Linked DNA regions of Mus musculus. The protein of the gene in region 2 binds, or shares a complex with, the protein of the main gene of each other region. Links are inferred from orthologs where the notes say so. Each region holds a gene or a part of one and is shown on either strand. Other genes may lie near its edges. The genes, in order: Cfp, Cfb and Cfd.

The links.
Region 1: the proteins of Cfb (region 2) and Cfp are in contact, whole or in part, in a crystal structure (PDB 7NOZ), measured with the Homo sapiens proteins. The link is inferred for Mus musculus from reciprocal best matches to the Homo sapiens genes CFB and CFP. Residues at the interface, in NP_001701.2 of Homo sapiens: Glu54, Gln56, Ser78, Thr316, Tyr317, Leu349, Ser351, Met394; in NP_001138724.1 of Homo sapiens: Arg329, Arg330, Asn331, Lys333, Pro341, Met420, Val421.
Region 3: the proteins of Cfb (region 2) and Cfd are in contact, whole or in part, in a crystal structure (PDB 2XWB), measured with the Homo sapiens proteins. The link is inferred for Mus musculus from reciprocal best matches to the Homo sapiens genes CFB and CFD. Residues at the interface, in NP_001701.2 of Homo sapiens: Glu298, Ala301, Ser302, Ala332, Asp333, Ile469, Asp470, Glu471, Ser472, Glu518, Tyr519, Lys585, Asp758, Glu759, Asp760; in NP_001919.2 of Homo sapiens: Asn157, His158, Ala159, Gly160, Arg161, Arg162, Arg182, Thr183, Asp186, Arg200, Val228, Cys229, Gly230, Asn231, Arg232, Lys233.

Annotation. Positions count from the first base shown.
Region 1 is NC_000086.7:20,926,818-20,934,032, forward strand, and holds the start of Cfp (properdin precursor), read right to left. Parts: upstream 4,739-7,215; 5' UTR 4,638-4,738; coding exon 4,574-4,637; intron 4,486-4,573; coding exon 4,335-4,485; intron 2,955-4,334; coding exon 2,779-2,954; intron 1,997-2,778; coding exon 1,826-1,996; intron 1,703-1,825; coding exon 1,511-1,702; intron 1,310-1,510; coding exon 1,136-1,309; intron 907-1,135; coding exon 718-906; intron 576-717; coding exon 464-575; intron 1-463. UniProt on the Homo sapiens protein: A positive regulator of the alternate pathway (AP) of complement. It binds to and stabilizes the C3- and C5-convertase enzyme complexes. Inhibits CFI-CFH mediated degradation of Complement C3 beta chain (C3b).
Region 2 is NC_000083.6:34,854,053-34,860,643, forward strand, and holds the end of Cfb (complement factor B isoform 1 precursor), read right to left. Parts: intron 6,574-6,591; coding exon 6,472-6,573; intron 6,371-6,471; coding exon 6,234-6,370; intron 6,023-6,233; coding exon 5,884-6,022; intron 5,522-5,883; coding exon 5,390-5,521; intron 5,280-5,389; coding exon 5,178-5,279; intron 5,095-5,177; coding exon 4,957-5,094; intron 4,544-4,956; coding exon 4,446-4,543; intron 4,103-4,445; coding exon 3,985-4,102; intron 3,770-3,984; coding exon 3,616-3,769; intron 3,581-3,615; exon of another isoform or gene 3,517-3,580; coding exon 3,440-3,516; intron 3,268-3,439; coding exon 3,167-3,267; intron 3,085-3,166; coding exon 2,952-3,084; intron 2,894-2,951; coding exon of another isoform or gene 2,878-2,893; coding exon 2,828-2,877; coding exon of another isoform or gene 2,824-2,827; intron 2,531-2,823; coding exon 2,375-2,530; 3' UTR 2,322-2,374; downstream 1-2,321. Other genes in the region: Nelfe (negative elongation factor E), read left to right, coding at 1-81, 169-313, 393-447, 644-746, 2,036-2,106.
Region 3 is NC_000076.6:79,888,615-79,895,119, forward strand, and holds Cfd (complement factor D isoform 1 preproprotein), read left to right. Parts: upstream 1-2,238; 5' UTR 2,239-2,311; coding exon 2,312-2,366; intron 2,367-2,841; coding exon 2,842-2,998; intron 2,999-3,088; coding exon 3,089-3,236; intron 3,237-3,377; coding exon 3,378-3,635; intron 3,636-3,810; coding exon 3,811-3,972; 3' UTR 3,973-4,041; downstream 4,042-6,505.

The DNA.
Region 1 (7,215 bases), on a different chromosome or scaffold from region 2:
ATAGTCTCATTGCTACTTACCTGTCATTTTTAGATTGTATCTATCACAACTCATCTGGGTACCTTCTACCCATAGATCTGGGTTCTTTTTTAGAGACTGTTGCTAAAAAATGCCTTGGAGTACCTCAAGGTAGTGAAATGTGGAGTGGATAAATGGAGGCATGGATGACTGAGTAACTCAAAAGTACGCTAAGAGCTCAGTGAGAAGGCTGCATGAAGGACTATATGCATGGGAGTACAGCTATGTGACTGCATTAGAAACTGAGGCACACAGAGGCTGGGAAGTCTTCCCTAATTGCTCCTCCTCCTCTTTTCTTTCTCTCCTCTTCTCTAAGCTAGGAGATGGCACTGGCAAGGCAGGCACCTTTGATCCAGGGGTGAAGCTCCAGTTCAATGTAACCAATTCCCTTCTCATCCTTCAGCATCATGAGCCCCTCCTAGAAACACAATGTCCTTCAACTCACGGGTACTTGGGGAGCAAAGGTGTGCAGAGGCGCTGGCGGACACGGGTGGCGTTGGGACTACATGGTGGTGTGCACAGACTCCAGGTACTCCACTGTGACCATGAACCTTTCACTGCAATAGGAGGGGGTAATACAGTGTCACATAGTCAAAACTGGAGGTCTCAATGGAAAAAGGAGACCGCAAGGGCATTGGGTACCCAGCATAGCTACAGCATGGTTGCCCACCCTTACAGTGCTGCCTGTGGGTCACTCACTGATACAGTTATGGATGTTATAGCAGTGTCGAATATCCTGGAGTTTTCCAGCACATGGCTTCCCATTAAATTTGCGGCCGCCACAGCTCCTTGAACGTGACTGCTGGCCTGGGGTTCCTTCACAGTTGATGGACATTCTCAGCCGGCTGCAGTCACTCCATTTTCCCCAGGCCTCCCACTCCCCGTTTACTGTAGAGACAAGGAGCAAGAGGGTTTGGGGCCAGTAAAGGGCCTCAGGGGAAGGAATGAAGAAGGCTTTGAGAGGGAGTGGGAGTGAACAGATGTGGGGATGAAGGAGGAGAGGTGAACCAGGGTATGAAGGCAGGAACAAGGTTTTGGTAGCAAGTGGGCAGCAGTGATGGGCATAGGGCTTGGGCAGGGGGTTAGGCATGGGCATGGTGCCTTTTGACTTGCTAACCAGGGCAAGGTACGGCTTTGTTACACATTTGGTTCCGAGTGGCATCACCAGCACAAAAGGGGCCCCCATGACGGGGTGCAGGGTGATCACATGTCCGTTGCTCTAGGGTCTGGCCCAGGCCACAAGTCACAGAGCAGGGGCTCAAAGGGCTCCATGGCCCCCAGCCACCAGCCACTGTTGGAATGGAGAGAAAGTGACAATAAAGACCACCTTAATCATGCACTCTCCCCAGCTTCCCTCCCTATCACCTCTAGACATCTGAGGCAAACTCCTCAGATGATAGGCTTCTGATCACGTGGTACAAGAATTCCATTCATCTTTGCCAGAAATCTAAAGCCCCACTAGCTGCATGACGATGGCCTCATCCCTGCATACCTGGGCAAGGTGGTAGGCCACTGCAGGCCTTATGCTCATAGGCTGGTCCTGAGCAGGGTTTCCCAGGGGGCTGGTGTGAAGGTGCTGGTGCAGAACATGAGCGGCTTCGTGTCTCCTTAGGTTCTTGAGCACCACCAAGGCAGGATCCTGAGCAGGGGCTCCAGGGGCCCCAGGATGCCCAGGCCCCATGTGCTGTGGTAGAAATGGAAGGATGAACTGTAGTCAAGCAAGCATAAAAGTTTTTTTTTCTCCCTCACAGTTTCTTGCTGTAACCCAACATTATCCCTTCCATGTCCTGTGACTACTCTTACTCACTGGGGCAGGTCTTCTGGGTGTCACAGGCCTGTGATTGCTGGGCCTCTCCTGGGCAGTGGCCCCCACACTTAGGAGCAGGATTATCACATACTCGTTGACGGATCTGGGTTCCTTTGGAGCATGTGACAGAGCAAGGCCCCCAGGGTCCCCACTCAGACCAGCCACCCATCTCTGTGGGAGAAAAAGAGAAGAAGTGGGGGTGTGTGTGGCAACTTAGGATTCCTTTCTTTCCACAGGGTCCCCAATGAAGGAGCTAGAGAAAGGACCCAAGGAGCTGAAGGGGTCTGCATCCCCCTAGGAGGAACAACAATATGAACTAACCAGTACTCCCAGAGCTCCCTGGGACTAAATCACTAACCAAAGAGTACACATGGTAGGACTCGTGGCTCCAGCTGCATATGTAGCAGAGGATGGCCTAGTCGGTCATCAATAGGAGGAGAGGCCCTTGGTCCTGTGAATGTTCTATGCCCTGGTATAGGGGAATGCCAGGGCCAGGAAGAAGGAGTGGGTGGGTTGGTGAGCAGGGGGAGGGGAGGGGATAGGGGATTTTCGAAGGGAAAACGAGGAAAGGGGATTACATTTGAAATGTAAAGAAAACCTAATAAAAACCAAGGATCCCTTTCTTTCATGTGTGTCCCACATCATCTTAGCCTGTCCTATCTCTTGTCCCTATACCTGACCTAGCAGTACTGCTCATGTGGACTATAGCAGCAGCTTTCATACTCCAGATTTGGCCTGTCCTCTTCCCAAAGCAAGTCAAAGTAAATCTCTCCCCTTCCAATAATCCAAATCATTCAGCCTCAAGCCAATGTTTTTACTTTCGAACATCCTTCAGCGATCCTAGCCTCCTCCATTCTCCTTAAAGCCATACAAAGGTCTGTCCTCAGGACCTCTGCACTGATTCTTCTAGTGTTGTGGGCTGGTTCCATGTCCGCATTGTTGATCTTCCTTACCTGGACAGCATGGCTGGTCCTCACAGGCCTGTAGCTGCCACTCAAGAGTTCCAGGAGCCACATTCTCAGAGCACTGACCACCTCTGCCCACACAGCGCCTGTGTCGCAGCTGGGACCCCTCAGAACATGTAACTGAGCAGGGCCCCCATAAGGACCATGCTGACCATTGTGGAGACCTGTAGAGAGGAGCCGATGTTCTATCCTGGTATGAAGTGACAGGATAGATCACTGAGAGCCTACTTACCACTTAGGGATGGTGGGTGATTGAACAGGAAGAAGTGAATATACAGGAAATATCTAATAAATTTCATTTCCCTTCATTTTCCTCTGGAAACCCCCCAGGGTCATAGCCAGATGTACAATAAGCAAATTTACAGACTAAAAAACCAGAACTTCTGCCAGGAACTCAATAGGTCACTACCCTGTACAGTACCACACAGAGAGGAAGTCCTTACTAAACAGAAGCTCTGCGGTCCCTTCACAACATCCTAGAGAAACACATTGCTTCTGCACAGAACTGGGTTTGCATGATAATATGGGTATGCATGCCAGTGCTAAAGAGACATGAACTGTTAGCATGACTGGCAGCTCAGAGCTGCTTTCCAAGATCTTCAAGCCTATCATCTTTACAATGTTATCTGAAATACATAGTAAGCAGTCATAAACTATATCTACAGTATAGTAAGACTCAACATATGTAAACTGGAAGTCATGATTAGGAGCTTTGAAGTGCCTTCAGAGACCAAACTGCCACAAAAGAGTTGCACAATGAATGTGTCATCACAATTAAAGATTTGGCATTGTCCTCAGAATTTCCTTAAAGTCCTCCATTTCTATAATGGTTCTATATATAATAAGCACTCAATTATGATCTATTGTAAGTTAGGAGAATAGAGCTACCATAGAAAATATCCAAATTGCACCCCACCTGCAATGTTTACAGGAAGCCCTGACTTTTAAAGCATTTTAAAATTAGGGTTAATTTTGTCTCTCCTAAGGGACATTTGGCAGTATCTGGATTCAGCTTTTTTAAAAACTCTTCTCTCATACAAGACAGCCTAACTATAGTTTCCTTTCCCCTCGTTTCTTTCAGCCCCCACCTCCTACAACCTCCTCTCTTCCCCAGATCCTCCTCCTCCAGTTCCCCTTCAGAAAAAAATCAGGCCTTCCAGGAATATTAACCAAACGTGTCATAAGAAGATGCAATAAGACTAGGCACAAATTCTTATATCAAGGCTGGATGAGGCAACTCAGGAGGAGAAAAGGGGTCCTAAGCACAGATGAAAGAGTCAGAGACACCCCACACCCACTAATAATCAGTGCAGAGAGTTGTTAAAAACATTTAGGGGTAGGTCAGATATGTTATAAACTACCAAACAATGCACAGCTAAGAACTCATACCCTTAACAAAGAGCTCCAAATGGCAACAGTGCCAAGATTTTGAAACCCTGAGCTATGGTCATAAGGAGGGCTTGTGGAGGAGGTGGCACTCTTAGAAGCTCCAGGGCAACGAGTACAGTTCTAGGTTACAGGGTTCAGCCCAGGTTCCTCCAAACCTGCATGCCTGACAGAGGCCACCATCATGCTCCTGGAAGGCATAGGCAGCGTTGAGACAGCAGTCTTCTACCCTGATGTCTCTCCCAAGTAGGCCTTTGCACCTGCCAGAGGACTCCTCATACTGGGTGAAGCAGAGCACAGGGTCTGAGCCTGTAAGATCAGGGGAGAGGAATGGCAAATCAGGAGTGTGGTTGGCCTGGGCATCCCTTGGAGGACATGTGGGCGCTCATCCACTTACCTGTGGCTGGCAGGATAACCAGTAGCAGCAGGAGCCACTGAGGGGCTTGCATTTCAGCAGGCATTTTGAACACTATGTTTCTGCACTCCTCACAGAGAGGAGGCCTTGGTTTTGTCTGGACTGACCTGCTCCAGAAAGAGGAACCCAGGGCAGGAGGAACTGGGAGGGTATGGCCTCATTAACTGTGAAGTCTCCCTTGTGCACTCTGCCCCTCCTCTTTTCTCCCTTCTCCATTTCCTTGTAGCTGCTTTGTCACCCTTGATGCTGCTTTGTTAGTCAATCTTTACCACCTAATACCCCACCTTACCCAGAAATCACTTAGTTTTTCACTCAATGCTTAGGAGACAAATTCTCACTGAAGGGCACTGGGGTCTGAAAACAAGAACCACCTAGGCGTGTGAACGTTGGCAAGTCACTTTAAATTCTCAGCTTTAGTTTTCCTTTTTTTTTTTTTTTTTTTTGCAAGGTTTTACAACATAGCCATACCTGAAATTTGCTTTAAACACCAGGCTGGTCTTGAACAGGCAAGTAACACCATGGCTGGCTCATTTTCTTACCTGTAAAATGCATAATCTTGACTATGGTGACCAATTTCATGGGGGTACTGGAGAAGGGTGAGATGAGGGAAGGCCTCATTTGTGAAGAAGGCATCATGGCAGCTACTTTATCTACCATCTTGAAAACTTAGCCCTTTCCTAAAAGTGAGGTTCCTGTGGTCAGCATGTATGTGTGTGAGGTCAATGCAAGGGAAGTGAAAAAGGGAAGTGGCATTGTGTGGGAAGTGATTCAGAAGAGGGGATGTTCAGGCATACCCACTGCCCAAGGTGGGGGGAGGGGCTCAGTGGTATGCCATTTGCCTAGCATGTGAGCAGCTTTAGGTCTGTATGCAGTACAAATTTACAGCACTGGACACAGCTTAGATCTGTCACAGCCCGACAATGAAAATACTCAGAATAGTGCCTGGCTGTGTTTACTAAATTGGTTTGTTCAACAATTATTGAGCACCTACTGAGCATCAGTAGTTCTCAGCATTAAATGGAATAGAAAACAAGACAGGAAAAAAAATCACTGTCTCTAAAGGACTTAAACACTCTACAAAGGGAGACTAGCAATAAAAATCTTTCAGAAAGGTCTTCTCCTGTGACCCTTCTTGGATGTCATTACTCTCTAGCCTTAGGACACACAAGAATCACCCACAGGGCTTCTTGATCCAACTGCACATTGCTGGATCCTACCTATTTCTCATTCAGCAGGTGTAGTGTGGGCCTCCAGTTTTTCAGACACACATACTTCTCAGACACCATTTGGTTGTCAAGTTTCTCACAACTGCTGACTGTGAGTCCTTCTTTTCTCCTCAGCTCCTCAGTCTCACCAGAACCTATGGAAGCTGCAACTGTTTTGTTGTTTTAAGATTTACTTATTTTATTTATTTTATGTATATGGGTACACTGTGGCTGTACATGATTGTGAGCCATCCTGTGGTTGCTGGGAATGAAGGTTGCTTGCTTTGGTCGAGCCTGCTCGCTCCGGCCCTGTTCACTCTGGCCTAAAGATTTATTGTTATATCTAAGTACACTGTAGCTGTCTTCAGATGCACCAGAAGAAGGTGTCAGATCCCATTACAGATGGTTGAGTCACCATGTGTTTGCTGGGATTTGAACTCAGGACCTTCGAAAGAGCAGTCAGTGCTCTTAACCAGAGCCATCTCTCCAGCCCAAAGCTGAGACTTGTTAACCAGCTGCTACCCACTAGTAGCGGGTAACATTTTCAGTCTCTCTCCTACACACACACACACACACACACACACACACACACACACACACACACCAGCCTTTTAGACTTTAGCAGCCACAACCAATCCATTTCTCCATCTTTCCTATGGTTTCTATGAAACATTTTAGTTTCACACCTATGTCTTATCAGTCACTTGGGCCTCATGATCATTTTCTTTCACACAATCAGTAACTTCTTGTTCTTCCTCCTTCATTTCCCTCTTCTTTTTTTGAGACAGGGTTTCTCTGTGTAGCCCTGGCTGTCCTGGAACTTGCTCTGTAGACCAGGCTGACCTTGAACTCTGAGACCTACTTGCTTCTCCTTCCCCAGTGCTGGGATTAAAGACGTGTGCCTCTACCACCTGGCTCACACAATCAGCTTCTTAAACATATACCTCCATGACTTAATTTCACACACAAACCATTTCTCAAAACCATTTCTCTACTAACAGTGTGACTTTTCATCTACAAATGGTTGGGACTGGAGAAATGGCCCAGTCAATAAAACACTTGCTTTGCACAACCCTGTGAATAAAGGAGTCAACGTGGTAAAAGGTGACCGTTTGATCCCTACAATACAGGTAAAAATTCCAGGCATAGAAGTACATGCTTGTAATCCCAAGGTAGAACCAGGTAGATCCTTGAGACTTGATGGCCAGCAAGTGTATCCCAACTGGTAAGTTTAGGCAAAGATGAGACCCTGTCTCAAAGGAGGGGACAGTGTTCCAGTAGACAACACACCACACATAAGACCATGCATACACATGTACAAAAATGTTTGCGGTCACACTTCTGACCTGCGACACACATATTTAAAATCTTTCGGTTTCTCTCATCACACTGGTTACCAATCAGCAGTCTGTATCAGTC
Region 2 (6,591 bases):
ATAAAGACAAAGACAGAGACCGGGATCGAGACAGAGACCGGGACCGAGATCGGGAACGAGACCGAGAGGGCCCTTTCCGCAGTGAGTGATCTTAGCCAGGGTTTAGGTGGGTCCTGCTAAGTAGAAGGTGAGGTGGACCCAGTAATGACTGTGGTTCCTAACCCACAGGGTCAGACTCATTCCCCGAACGGAGGGCCCCTCGAAAGGGGAACACACTGTATGTGTATGGAGAGGACATGACGCCCACCCTCCTCCGCGGGGCCTTCTCTCCCTTTGGAAATATCATCGACCTCTCCATGGACCCACCCAGAAAGTAAGCATGAGCAACATCCCGGGGAGGGAGCTGCCTGGTCTCCATGGAGTTTCCTGACTCTGCTTTCTCTCTCACCCAGCTGTGCCTTCGTCACCTACGAGAAGATGGAGTCTGCAGATCAGGCTGTTGCTGAGGTTGGGACTTCTCAGACCGTTCCTCCCATCCCTCCTGTCATCCTCCTGCTTCTTCTTTTCAATATCTGCTTCTAGAGGAAACTTTTCTCCTGACTGAGAAAACCTTCATCCTCACATTCCTGGTTGGTCTCCCAGGGCAGCAGCACCTGGCTCCATGTAATGCCCGTCCTCTGTCCCCTCCCCTCTTGTCCCACAGCTCAATGGGACCCAGGTGGAATCTGTGCAGCTTAAAGTCAACATAGCCCGAAAACAGCCCATGCTGGACGCTGCTACTGGCAAATCTGTCTGGGGCTCCCTTGGTAAGGATGAGGCTCCTCCCTTCCCCTCTCTGCAGCATAGCACTTCCTTGAGTTCCCTAAAGTGCCCAAGGTCAGGATCTTCACGTAGGTAGTGGATGAAGAATTGCCAGGGCATCTGTCAGGTGAGGGAAGGAGAGCAGCACTGAAATGTGCCCTCTCAGTGGTGGCACACACCTTCAGCCACAACACGTGGGAGGTGGAGCCAGGTGAGTTCAAGGCCAGCCTGGTCTACAGAGCAGAGTTCAGAACAGCCAGGGCTACACAGAGAAATCTTGTCTTGAAAAGCCATTTGGGCAGGGCAGTGGTGGCACACACCTTTAATCCCAGCACTTGGGAGGCAGAGGAAGGTGGATTTCTGAGTTCAAGGCCAGCTTGGTCTACAGAGTGAGTTCCAGGACAGCCAAGACTACACAGAGAAACCCTGTCTCAGAAAACCAAAAAAAAAAAAAGAAAGAAAAGAAAAGCCATTTGGAAAAACAGAACAGGGTCCTCTGTCACAGACAGGAAAGCAGAAGCCTAGTTGTCGCCTCTGAGCTGGAGTGTTACCTGAACTTGGTATTGTGGGTCTGGACCTCAAGTAGAAGACCAGGCATGGAAACATAGATTAGTGTTCTGTGTATCTGGAACCATCAGAGGTGGGGATTTTGGAGATTGAAAAGTGACCTGAGACTGGTTTAGAGAATCAAGAGCATTAGGAAGCTAGGCTCTACTGTCTGTGCCTAGCATACCTCCAGCAGTCCTGGCTTGCTAGGCCCAAGTTAAGTCTGCAGCAAAGGAGCCATGAAGAAGAGTCCAAGCTAAGAACAACCCCAGAAGCTCTGGGCTGTGGGCTGAGAGGCTCTGAAAAGAGTATAAGACCAAAGAGGAGGCCTGTCTCTTAGCCCCACAGGGAATCCTTGGGAGGGATGAGCAGTATGAGGAAAGAAAAGCTGAACACTTGAGTTCGGAGAGGTCCTCATGGGGTCTCTCAGTGTGGACAGCCCATTCTACCCAAAACAAACTTTTCTGAGGAAGGAGTAAGCAAAGTCCTTGCACACACTAGGAAGGAACCAGAATTGACCAGTGTACCAGCAAGGTACAGAAACATTCTGATCTTTTAATTTCCATGTATTTGTGATGTTATCATAGTCACATCTCTAACTGTGTTAACATTCTGGATTTTCTAAGCCACAGTGAGGTTATGGCCACCAGAGGGCAGAGTAAGCCCTGGTGGACCAGGGCCAGGGCTCTGGACCCCAGGTCTAACGCCACTGGTGCTTCACTTAACTGTCACTTTCCTCCCTCCTTAGCTGTCCAGAACAGCCCTAAGGGTTGCCATCGAGACAAGAGGACCCAGATTGTGTACAGTGACGATCTATAGGAAACCTTGTGGATGGCTTCTAGGACATGAAGCTGGATTCCTTGTGCCTCATATGCCCCCAAGCTGGTCTCAGTAAAATCCTGGGGTAGAAGCTTTTCACCTCCGTCAGCCTCTAGTCTTTCAGCACTTGGGATTGGAGTTAAGCCTTCAAAAGCGGCTGTCAGTGTTGATGTTAACCAGTGCACGCCCTTACCCCAAAAAGATGTGGAACACACTTGTTATTGTAACTGCTTTAATCTGTCCTCACACTCTCCCTGCAGGAAGCTCTTTATAGAAAACCCAAATCCTCATCTTTGAGCTTGTCCTTTAGCCAGGGCAGCACCTGGAAGAGGTTGATGTGGAAGTCCCGGGCATAAGAGGGTACCAGCTGTTGCCGCCTCTGGTCTCTGCAGACATCTACTACTCCCCAGCTAATCACACCAACCTGTGTAGATAAGGGTATGCCATGGGTCACTTGACACACTAATAATCCCAGAAAGCTTCCAAGCTGGCCTAAAGAAGTGCACTGGGAGCCTAGCTCCCCCTGTCTTCTGTGGTGCACATAAGCCAGACACTTGGCATTCACTGACCAGTTAAGAACATAGCTGTCAGATGAGGTGGGCCCTGTTCTGCCCCCTTTTCCAGCCCCCTTTTCCAGCCCCCTTTTCCAGCCATGTACAGCAGGCTTTCTTTTTGTGACTCCTGGGCATCTCCCTAAGGGACTAGAGAGGGGACCACTCACTTGAATGAAGCGGCTTCTCTTGTGAACAATGAGAGGGCCCCCGGAATCTCCTGTAGAAGAGAGAAGCTGTAGGGGAAAGATGCTGGGCCTGTGGACTTGCAGCATAGCCAGAGAGCCACCTCACCTTTGCATGTGTTGGGGTCAGCATAGGGATCCACCCCTCCTGTGCAGAGGAACCGTGGAGTGACCACCTCAGAGGCATCTTTGACCTTCTCATAGCCTTGGGCCTTTGTAGCATCTCTCTCACAACTGGCTTTCTGTAGGCAACAAAGGTGAAAAAGCTAGCTAGCTAAGGGAGGAATGAGACCTATGTGACCCTCTCCAGAATCCTCTTCTCACCTTGTCCCCATTCTTGATGTACACCTCCTTCCGAGTCAGGCTCTTCCCTTGCTCAGATACAAACAGAGCTTTGACATCCTTCACAGGGAGCAACTGTTCCTCTGGAAAAGTAATGGGGTCATGCCAGCTGAACCCTTACTTCTCACCCAGCAGATGTCCCTTGGGCCCATAGGAGCCAGGCCTTGAACTAAGCAGTTTAACACTTTCAACTCCCTCTTTCGACCCCTTTGTCTTGCAAATCTCATCCTTGTCTTATCCCAGACTATGCCTTACTGTGCTGCTTGCAGGTGGCTGTCTGAGGAAGCCTCAAGGCTCGTGTGGTTCCCTCCGTGCAGGGGAGACAGATGGGCCTATGGAGACAGGTACAGTAAGGAGCCACAGACAACCTGTTCTGCCCTGTGCCTCCAGCCCAACCTTTCATAGCATCTCTGAGCCCCAGCCTCACTCACCTGAGAGTCTGGCCATACTTGAGCTTGTTCTTGAGCTTGACTAGGGCCACATCATAATCATAGAACTCAGGGATCCCTTCTGCCTTTTTCCCATTAATATTGTATTTGGGGTGGAACAGGACCTCTTCAATCTCCAGGTCCCGCCTCTGACCCCCTGAGAAGAGAAGAATGGGCACCATGTTTATGGAAGCAGCCTCCTGCCTCTGGCCCCATCTCATCTTTGGGGTTCTGTTTCCCCATCCTTAACTAGTCAGTGTTAAGGGGGTCGGGGGGGGCTGTGCTGAGAACAGGTGGGCTACAGGTCATAACATGTCAGTGTTTCCTGAAGATAGATGGGCCTGGAGGTCAGAGTCTTGACTGCATCCTTACCCACGCTGACCTTGATGGAATGTTTCTGATCATCCACCATGAAGCAGTGCGCTGCTGTCAGCACGAAGTACTCAGACACCACGGCCCCCATACAGGTCTCATGTCCTTTCAGAGGGCGCTAGGAAGCCAATGCAGATTAACCTTGGTGTATGTGTACTGCTGGAGGCTGCTCTGTACTAGCCCAGACTGACCTCAGACACAAGGCAACCCTGCTCTCACTTCCAAATGCCAGGGCACCAGCATGTATGTGCTCCATGCCCAGCATCCTTCCCCTTTTTCAGGCAGTTTGATAAGTTATTGTATTGACCTTGAACTCACTGTAGCCCAAGCAGGCCATGAATCTCTACCCTACCTCGGCTTCCTGAAAGCCAGGATTACAGCTAGTGTAGACATTTCCCCTCCTCTTCCCTCTGCCCTTCCTTCCTTTCCCTCCCACAAGTACCCACTGCACGAATGCTTACAGTGACTGAGATCTTGGCTTGCCATGGTTGCTTATGATAATCGTTGCCTTTTTTATGCTCCCACACCATGCCACAGAGACTCAGAGATTTGGTTTCATCTGTCAGGGAAAGAATACTGAAGGCTCAGGTCATTGTAGTCAACTTTGTTGGGTCCCTGTGTGTCTGTTGGCAGCAGAGGCCCAGAAGGGGAAAGGGGAGCAAGCAGGGAGAGGGTTCTGTGTGTTAGATGAGGAACCCCATGGTGTAGTAAGAAAAGATTGACCAGGAGATCTGAGGACTGAGCATCTTAGCCACAGTCTTGGTGCTGACTTGCTGTGCTCAGCCTGTTTCTACATCTGTAAAACAAGCTATTAGAGTTCTGTGAGTGTGAGAAATCAGGAAGTAAGAATAGACGTGGGGGAGGCATGACGGGGCCAGAGAGCGAGCCTTCCAGGTTTTGATGGCTTTGGGGTGGGAGACGTTGGCAACCTCAGTCTGCAGCTTCCCCTTGTACACCCTTGAGTCTTCCTACCAATCATTTGGTAGAAAACATTCTCCAGGTCTTCCATATCCTTGACTTTAAACACATGATGCTCATTGTCCTTTTTGGAAGCTAAGGCATTGATGTTCACGGAGTCCACCAGAGGCCCGACCCCAAACACATACACATCTGAAGGAGAGAAGGAGAGGGTGAGAGTCCAGGCCCTGAGGGGTGAGGGTTTGAGAGTGCAGGATCCCAAATGGGCCACTCACCCAGGTAATCCTCCCTGGGATTTTTGGGATCCCTGCCGATGTCCAGCAAGGCTCGGATGTCCTGAATGACAGTGACAGGGTTTCCACCCATGTTGTGCAAGCCTGTGGGAAACATGAGGATCATAAAAGTGGGACAGAGAAGATACACTGTCTGGAGACACAAACACATGCTCAGGAGATGGGAGGATGGTGGTGTAGGAGAAAGGCCTTACCATCAGTCATAATGATGATGACATGGCGGGTTCTATTCCAGCCTTCAGGCGGGGCATCCCCTGCCCAGCTCATCATGCTATACACAGCCTGGAGAGCCCTCTTGGTGTTGGTCCCTGACTTCAGCTTGTGGTCTATAGACAAAAGGTCACCAACCTTATCTTCAAGCCACATTTGCACCTCAGAAGTCTGTGACAACTGAGATCCCACATTCTTCAACTTTTACTCTATAGACCATGCTGGCCTTGAACTCAGAGATTCACCTGCTTTTTGGATGTTGGGATTAAAGGCTTGTGCCACCAAGTCCAGACATTGTTTAACTTTTGTTATCACCCACTTGCCCTTGACTCTTCCAGCATTCTCCATTGCCCAAGGAGACTTTTCTTCAACCTTTAACCAATAGTAGTCTTGTCTGCTTTCTCCCGAAGAACCCCAAGCTTCTGACTACCACAGCCCCAAGGTGCACCTCCCGGCTTTCCCTTCCCTGATCTCTGACCTTCATAACTGATTTGGTTGAGCTTCTCTGTGACCCAGTCGGCATCGCTACTCCTCTCATCAGACACTCTGACCAACACTTTGGGGACTGTAGCATATGTCAGGAGACCATATCGTGGCCTCACCCCGTAACTCGCCACCTGTTCATGAGCAAGAGGCCATTGTGTTTAAAAAAACAAAAACAAAAACCAGTGTGGTGGGTAGTCAACACTCCTGTTGAGACAGGGAAGAGGCTGGAGGACAGCAGGACCTGGACCCAAAGGATCTGGGGACACAGGAAACCAGTCTTGTAAGGGCAGTGGGGTCCAGATAAGGTCCCCTCATTTCAAAGGGAGGGGAACTCTGATCTACCTTCTCAATCAAGTTGGTGAGGCACCGCTTAGCCCCTGTGAAGTTGCTGCTTCCGATGCTGTCTGATCCATCTAGCACCAGGTAGATATTCATGGAGCCCGAGGGGTCTAGGACAATCTTCCTCTTCTGCTGTTCTCCTAGGTGCCAGCAGAGACTCAGCTTCTGATATGTACAGTACCTGACAGACCACCCATCCTTCCCTGGGCTTCCTGCTCAGTCTCCCTCCTTGTATTCTAACCTGGGCTGTGCCCATCCTCAGCATCGGCTCCTTCGATGGTCTCTGTCAGGGAGGATAGGAATGCTTCGGCCACTTCTTGAGGGCTGTCATACATGAAGGAATCTAGGGATGGTCAGAGAG
Region 3 (6,505 bases), on a different chromosome or scaffold from region 2:
GTGGGCACCAGGCACATATATACACCTTCTACACATAATTAAGAAAAGTGAGCTTTTCTGCGCTCTCGCTGGACCAGTGAGCAGGGACGGCCTCAGGATGCAGAACGACGCCGGCGAGTTTGTGGACCTGTCCGTGCCTCGGAAATGCTCCGCATGCAACCTCATCATTGCTGCCAAGGACCACGCGTCCATCCAGATGAACGTGGCCGAGGTTGATAGGACCACAGGCCGGTTTAATGGCCAGTTTAAAACTTACGGCATCTGCGGGGGGTCATTTGCAGGATGGGCGAGTCAGATGATTCTATTCTCTGATTGGCTAAGGCTGATAGAATTGTCTCAAAGAACTTTTGAGCAGAAGAAATCGGGAATTTGTTACAAATAAAAGTTTTAAGTACCTGTGGGGGGGGGGGAAGAAAAGTGAAGATAACCTGATAAATAAGCTAGGACTGGTGAAGTGGCTTACCAGGTGAGCATGCTAGCCATGAAGGTGAAGGAGACAATGGATTTCAGCGAGCCCTCTGCACACTTACCCACACAGTACATAAATAAAATAAATACAGCATATAGATAAATAATAAAAATAATAAATAATAAAATAGCCAAGCAGTGGTGATGCACACCTTTAATCCCAGCACTTGGGAGGCAGAGGCAGGCAGATCTCTGAGTTCGAGGCCAGCCTGGCCTACAAAGTGAGTTCCATGACAGCCAGGGCTACACAGAGAAACCCTGTCTCAAACAAACGTGATGATGATGATGGTGATGATATCCACTTTCCTGTTACATTGGAGTGGTAGACACCATAGCTCTGTCCCAGGTGCTCCCTAAATGGCTTCTTTTACCCACCCTACCTTTCCCCACCCTCTCCCACCCCTCCCAGGACAGGGCTCCAAGTCTGTGGAAGTTCGGAGTTGTTTACTGAAGTGTCCCAAGCTGCATGACCCTGGGTGGCTGCCAAATTTTGTTATAATTTATTAGGTTCCTGTTTTCACAATCTGGTTCTGCGCTAAAGGGCTTCTGATTCTGTTTTGTTTTGTTTGAGTCAACAGCCATGGTTTTCTTGGAACTCACTATGTGACCCAGGCTCTGCTCTTCTCAAACTTACAGAGCTGCTGCTGCTTCTTCTTCTTCTTCTTCTTCTTCTTCTTCTTCTTCTTCTTCTTCTTCTTCTTCTTCTTCTTCTTCTTCTTCTTCTTCTTCTTCCTCCTCCTCCTCCTCCTCCTCCTCCTCCTCCTCCTCCTCCTCCTCCTCCTCCTCCTTCTTGATGTTTTTTTGAGACAAGGTTTCTCTGTGTAGCCCTGGCTGTCCTGGAGTTCACTATGTAGACCAGGCTGGCCTAGAGAACTCAGAGATCCGCCTGCCTCTGCCTCCCAAGTGCTAGGATTAAAGGCGTGTGCCACCATTGCCCGGCCACAGAGATTCTTCTGTCTTCACCTCCTGAGTGCTGGGGTTGAAAGTGTGCCACCCAGGTGGCTTCTGATTATAATGACAGTCCTGGGGCTCAAGATGTCCTGTGGACAACACATCTACAACATCATGTCACCTCTAAAGACAGGGAATGGCTGAGCTGAGCCCCCAAGCTCCCATCCTTCTTGCCCCAATCTCTCCCCTCTAGAACCCACCCTCAGGATTATTTTTTGTGAAGAGCTTGCGACCTGGGCTCAGCCAAACAAGACTTTGATTGGCATGAGGGTCTGATTTTATAGTCAAGGTCCCCATAACCACAATAGGGAAGAGCCTGGTGAGGACAGAGGCTGCGCCTGGATCAAGCCAAACCTGAAGGCAGAATTCACAGGAAATGAAACCTCATGGCAACACTCTGCTTGCTGAGGTGTGAGACCCCACAGACACAGGAATGAGGACAAAGGAGTTAAGTGCCCTTCCCCCACTGTCAAGCAACCTTCTCTCCAAATTGAAGGCAGAAAGAGGAGGGAGAGATGATGGGGTGGAGGGTGTTACTAACCGACCTCCTGCTGCTCTGGTTTTAACAGACACCATGACAGACACATGGCTGGAAGGATACTCACTGGGCCAGGACAACAGGTGGTCCATCCTCTGCTCTCGTTGTGCCTTGTGTATGCCTACCTTGAGAGTGGGCACTGGTCAGGGTGCCATGCAGGAGGGAGAGGAGGGTTTGCCCTGCCCCCTGCACCTCACAGGTTCACATCATCTGTCCCAGAAGGGCTGACACACCGAAAGTGCAGACTCCCCTTCCCTAGTTGGTTTTCTGCCCACCAGGCAAGGGGCAGGAGGTAAGAGGCAGGAGTCCATAAAACAGCCCTGAGAGCCTGCTGGGTCAGTGCCTGCTGTCAGAATGCACAGCTCCGTGTACTTCGTGGCTCTGGTGATCCTGGGAGCGGCTGTATGTGGTGAGTGGACCAGGGAGGGACCAGTTTGACACAGCAGCCCCCTTGGTGGGCCAGCACAGCAGGAGTCCCCTGCAGTGAAACACTCTCCAAATTACTAATCTGTAATCTGAGCCTTCTGGTTTCAGAGCTTTTATCAACAGCAAGAATCTGGATTTGAAATCTGTATACTTTACAGAATTAAAGAACTAAAATTCACCTTAGGGCTAGCGAGAAGGGTCAGCTGGTTAAAGGGCCTGAACACCCATTTGATGAAGAAAGTGATCGCTACAAGTTGTCTTCAGCCTACTGCAGGTTCACTGTGGTCTTGAGGGGTGTAAACCACCCACAGGCCCCTGAATTTGCAGCCCCTCGGAAATGCACTTTACTGAGATCGCTTTTGGGTCTGGGGCAACTGGGTTGGAGGTGTCTGTGGTCAGAGTGGGTTCTCTTTAGGTGCAACCCACCCCAACCCTTACAATACACCTACCCTCCTCAGCAGCACAGCCCCGAGGCCGGATTCTGGGTGGCCAGGAGGCCGCAGCCCATGCTCGGCCCTACATGGCTTCCGTGCAAGTGAACGGCACACACGTGTGCGGTGGCACCCTGCTGGACGAGCAGTGGGTGCTCAGTGCTGCACACTGCATGGATGGAGTGTGAGTGGCAGGGGTGGGATGGGGGTGGGAGGAGCGGGGCCTCGGGAGGCTGGGACGTGGATCTGAGATGCGCCCTTGTCCTGTCCCCAGGACGGATGACGACTCTGTGCAGGTGCTCCTGGGTGCCCACTCCCTGTCCGCCCCTGAACCCTACAAGCGATGGTATGATGTGCAGAGTGTAGTGCCTCACCCGGGCAGCCGACCTGACAGCCTTGAGGACGACCTCATTCTTTTTAAGGTGAGAGAGCTGGATCCTTTGTACTCAAGAGTCTAGCCTCGACCCTACCTTCTGCACCAGAATCCCTGTCCGCCACCCCAGCTTCAGATCTCTTTTCTTGACTCTGCCCCTACTCAGACATTCTGCCCCTCCCACCCTTAGCTATCCCAGAATGCCTCGTTGGGTCCCCACGTGAGACCCCTACCCTTGCAATACGAGGACAAAGAAGTGGAACCCGGCACGCTCTGCGACGTGGCTGGTTGGGGTGTGGTCACCCATGCAGGACGCAGGCCTGATGTCCTGCATCAACTCAGAGTGTCAATCATGAACCGGACAACCTGCAATCTGCGCACGTACCATGACGGGGTAGTCACCATTAACATGATGTGTGCAGAGAGCAACCGCAGGGACACTTGCAGGGTGAGGGACACAGTCTGGGTGATGTGGTGTGGGTGGGTGGAGTTGAGGGGCTGTGGAGGCTAGCTAGGGGGCCTGGCTTGTGGGAAGGGTGGGGTTCAGGAATCTCAGGAGCTTCTGGGAGTCAGTTTCTTGCTGGCTATTGGGTGGGCATGTCACTAGTGGCCCTGCCCTACAGGGAGACTCCGGCAGCCCTCTAGTGTGCGGGGATGCAGTCGAAGGTGTGGTTACGTGGGGCTCTCGCGTCTGTGGCAATGGCAAAAAGCCGGGCGTCTATACCCGAGTGTCATCCTACCGGATGTGGATCGAAAACATCACAAATGGTAACATGACATCCTGAGGGGACACCAGAGACACGTGGCTCAGGGAAACAAGAGACACGTGGCTCACAATAAATGCATGCATCTGAGCCCTGTGCATCTTTCTTTTTTTTTTTTTTAAGATTTATTTATTGTTATATGTATCTACACTATAGCTGTCTTCAGACACACCAGAAGAGGGAGTCAGATCTTATTACAGATGGTTGTGAGCCACCATGTGGTTGCTGGGATTTGAACTCAGGGCCTTCGGAAGAGCAGTCAGTGCTCTTAACCACTGAGCCATCTCACCAGCCCGCCCTGTGCATCTTTATTGAGTGCCTGTTGCATACACACCTGAAGGCGGGTGTTTTCACGCTTGGCCACACGGGGGCGCGCGTGCTGTTTTAGAATTGTGAGGCGGGGCTCATTCCTATCCTACTGAGGTCCTGCTGTACCCAGGACTGTTGTCTGGGCTCAGACAGCTCTTACTTTGAGCCTTACCACATAAATACTAAAAGGGAAAACTGAGGCACAGAGCGGCCATGAACAAGACTGGATTCCAACCCAGAGCCCTTCCTGGTTTACTGAAGAGGGAGTTGGTAATGTCTTTGTCACAGGCTGGAACCCTGTGGGTGACAATGGGCAGAACCTGGACCCAAACCCTGTGTCTTTCTACCAGGAGAACAGGACACTGAGGCAAAGGGAGTCTTCTGGCTTCCTGTAGGTATTGGAGACTAAGGATCTTAGAGGTGAAACCACTGAGGACCCTGCTGTGAAAGAGGATAGAACTGGATCCTGGGTCTAAACTTTGTCTCTGCTAGGCAGGTTCAGCTTGGAGTCATCTTTATGAACAAGCTGCCACCAGGCTCATGGAGAGGGATAGCCACAGACACAGGCCAGGCCCAGCTCTACTCCCTCGGGAGGCTAGTGCTTAGCACCACTTGTCCCACAATCCCAGAGTGCTCCGCACCTAAACAGAGGAGCCTGGGACGCCACTCAGCTGCGTCTAGCACGTCCCCTAGATGGCTTGATATGCATGTCTATGCACGGCCAGCACTCTGCAGAGAGTGGACCGGAGCAGTCTTCCAGGACTGCCACCCTGGTGGCCATGTTTCCGGCTATGGGAGGTCAGGAAGTCGAGCTTGTGCATGGCCAGGATGCTGCACCACCATGCTGCTGGCTTCTGTTGGCAGAGGAGGTGCTCTAGGGGCAGCAGTGGGCAGGGCAAAGGGAAGTCACAAAACTCTGAAGGGGTATACCAGTTCCCAGGCACAACATGCCTGCCTCTTCCAGCACTGAGGAGAAGGTAGTTCAAAGCTGGGATGCTCACCTGGGACTGTTACCCTGTCTGACTGTAGCTCCCTCACACTGCGGTGGAGTACATCGATAATTCTGGGTTTTGGTTTTTGCTTTAATCTCGGGTGTGAGATGTGGGGCTACTTTAGACTGTCCACAGCAGCTGACTATGATTTGCCTCGTGATCTAGGAGAGGCGTGGTTTTGCCAGCTGCAGCTAGTTTCTCCAACTGTGTGACATTTGCAATTCTGGGGATTTTTAAGAGGATATATATATGCTAGGGTTGTTGTTGTTGATAGTGGATTGGTGGTTGGTTGCTGTTTGTTAAGCAGTCCTGTGCAAAGAAGTTAGATATCCTGCTGGTGACATCAAACTTGCCCCAAGGACCGCAATGCTCCTCATCAGTGGGAGGCAGTCTGAACGTGATGTCACCCCTTATCCCCATTAGTGTCAGGGGGCTGAAGGGGTAGAAGAAAGAAGAACCCACAAAGTAGCCAAGCAGAGTGGAGCATCCTCCGGGGCACCGGCTCAGGCAGGCCCTCCCCAGAGCTGGGTCATCGTGGCCATTGCCCTGTACTCAGCTCCACAGGGCTCCAGGGAGAAAACACCAGTTACCAAGAGCAAAGAGGCTGCGGCCTGGCCACCCGAGGCTGCAGGGGGCAGGTGTGGTATGGATGCTAGAAAGCAGAACCTCTGGGGACTACAGCAAAGGCCACAAAAACCAGGAGATGAGGCAGCTGGGGAGGGGAAAGTCTGTTGTGACACAAGTGGGGCCAGCAGTCACTCAGTTTCCAAATGTGTGGGTACCTCAGCACGGAGCCTCACCTAGTGGGCAGAGTGGTGGGGACCACGGTGACAGCCAAAGCCTAGTGCATCAGAGAACTTTATTGGGCCAGTCTTCCCCTCCCACCGGCACCCAAAGAAAACTGAGGCAGACGACCCCAAGCAGGACAAGAAAACTGAGGCAGACGACCCCAAGCAGGACAAGAAAACTGAGGCAGACGACCCCAAGCAGGACAAGAAAACTGAGGCAGACGACCCCAAGCAGGACAAGGGGCTTTATGTACTGTGAATCTTTTTTTTTTTTTGTTTTGTTTTTTCGAGACAGGGTTTCTCTGTGTAGCCCTGGCTGTCCTGGAACTCACTTTGTAGACCAGGCTGGCCTCGAACTCAGAAATCCACCTGCCTCTGCCTCCCGAGTGCTGGGATTAAAGGCGTGCGCCACCACGCCCGGCCACTGTGGATCTTTTAAAGGATGAATACACAGCCCAGCTCCTT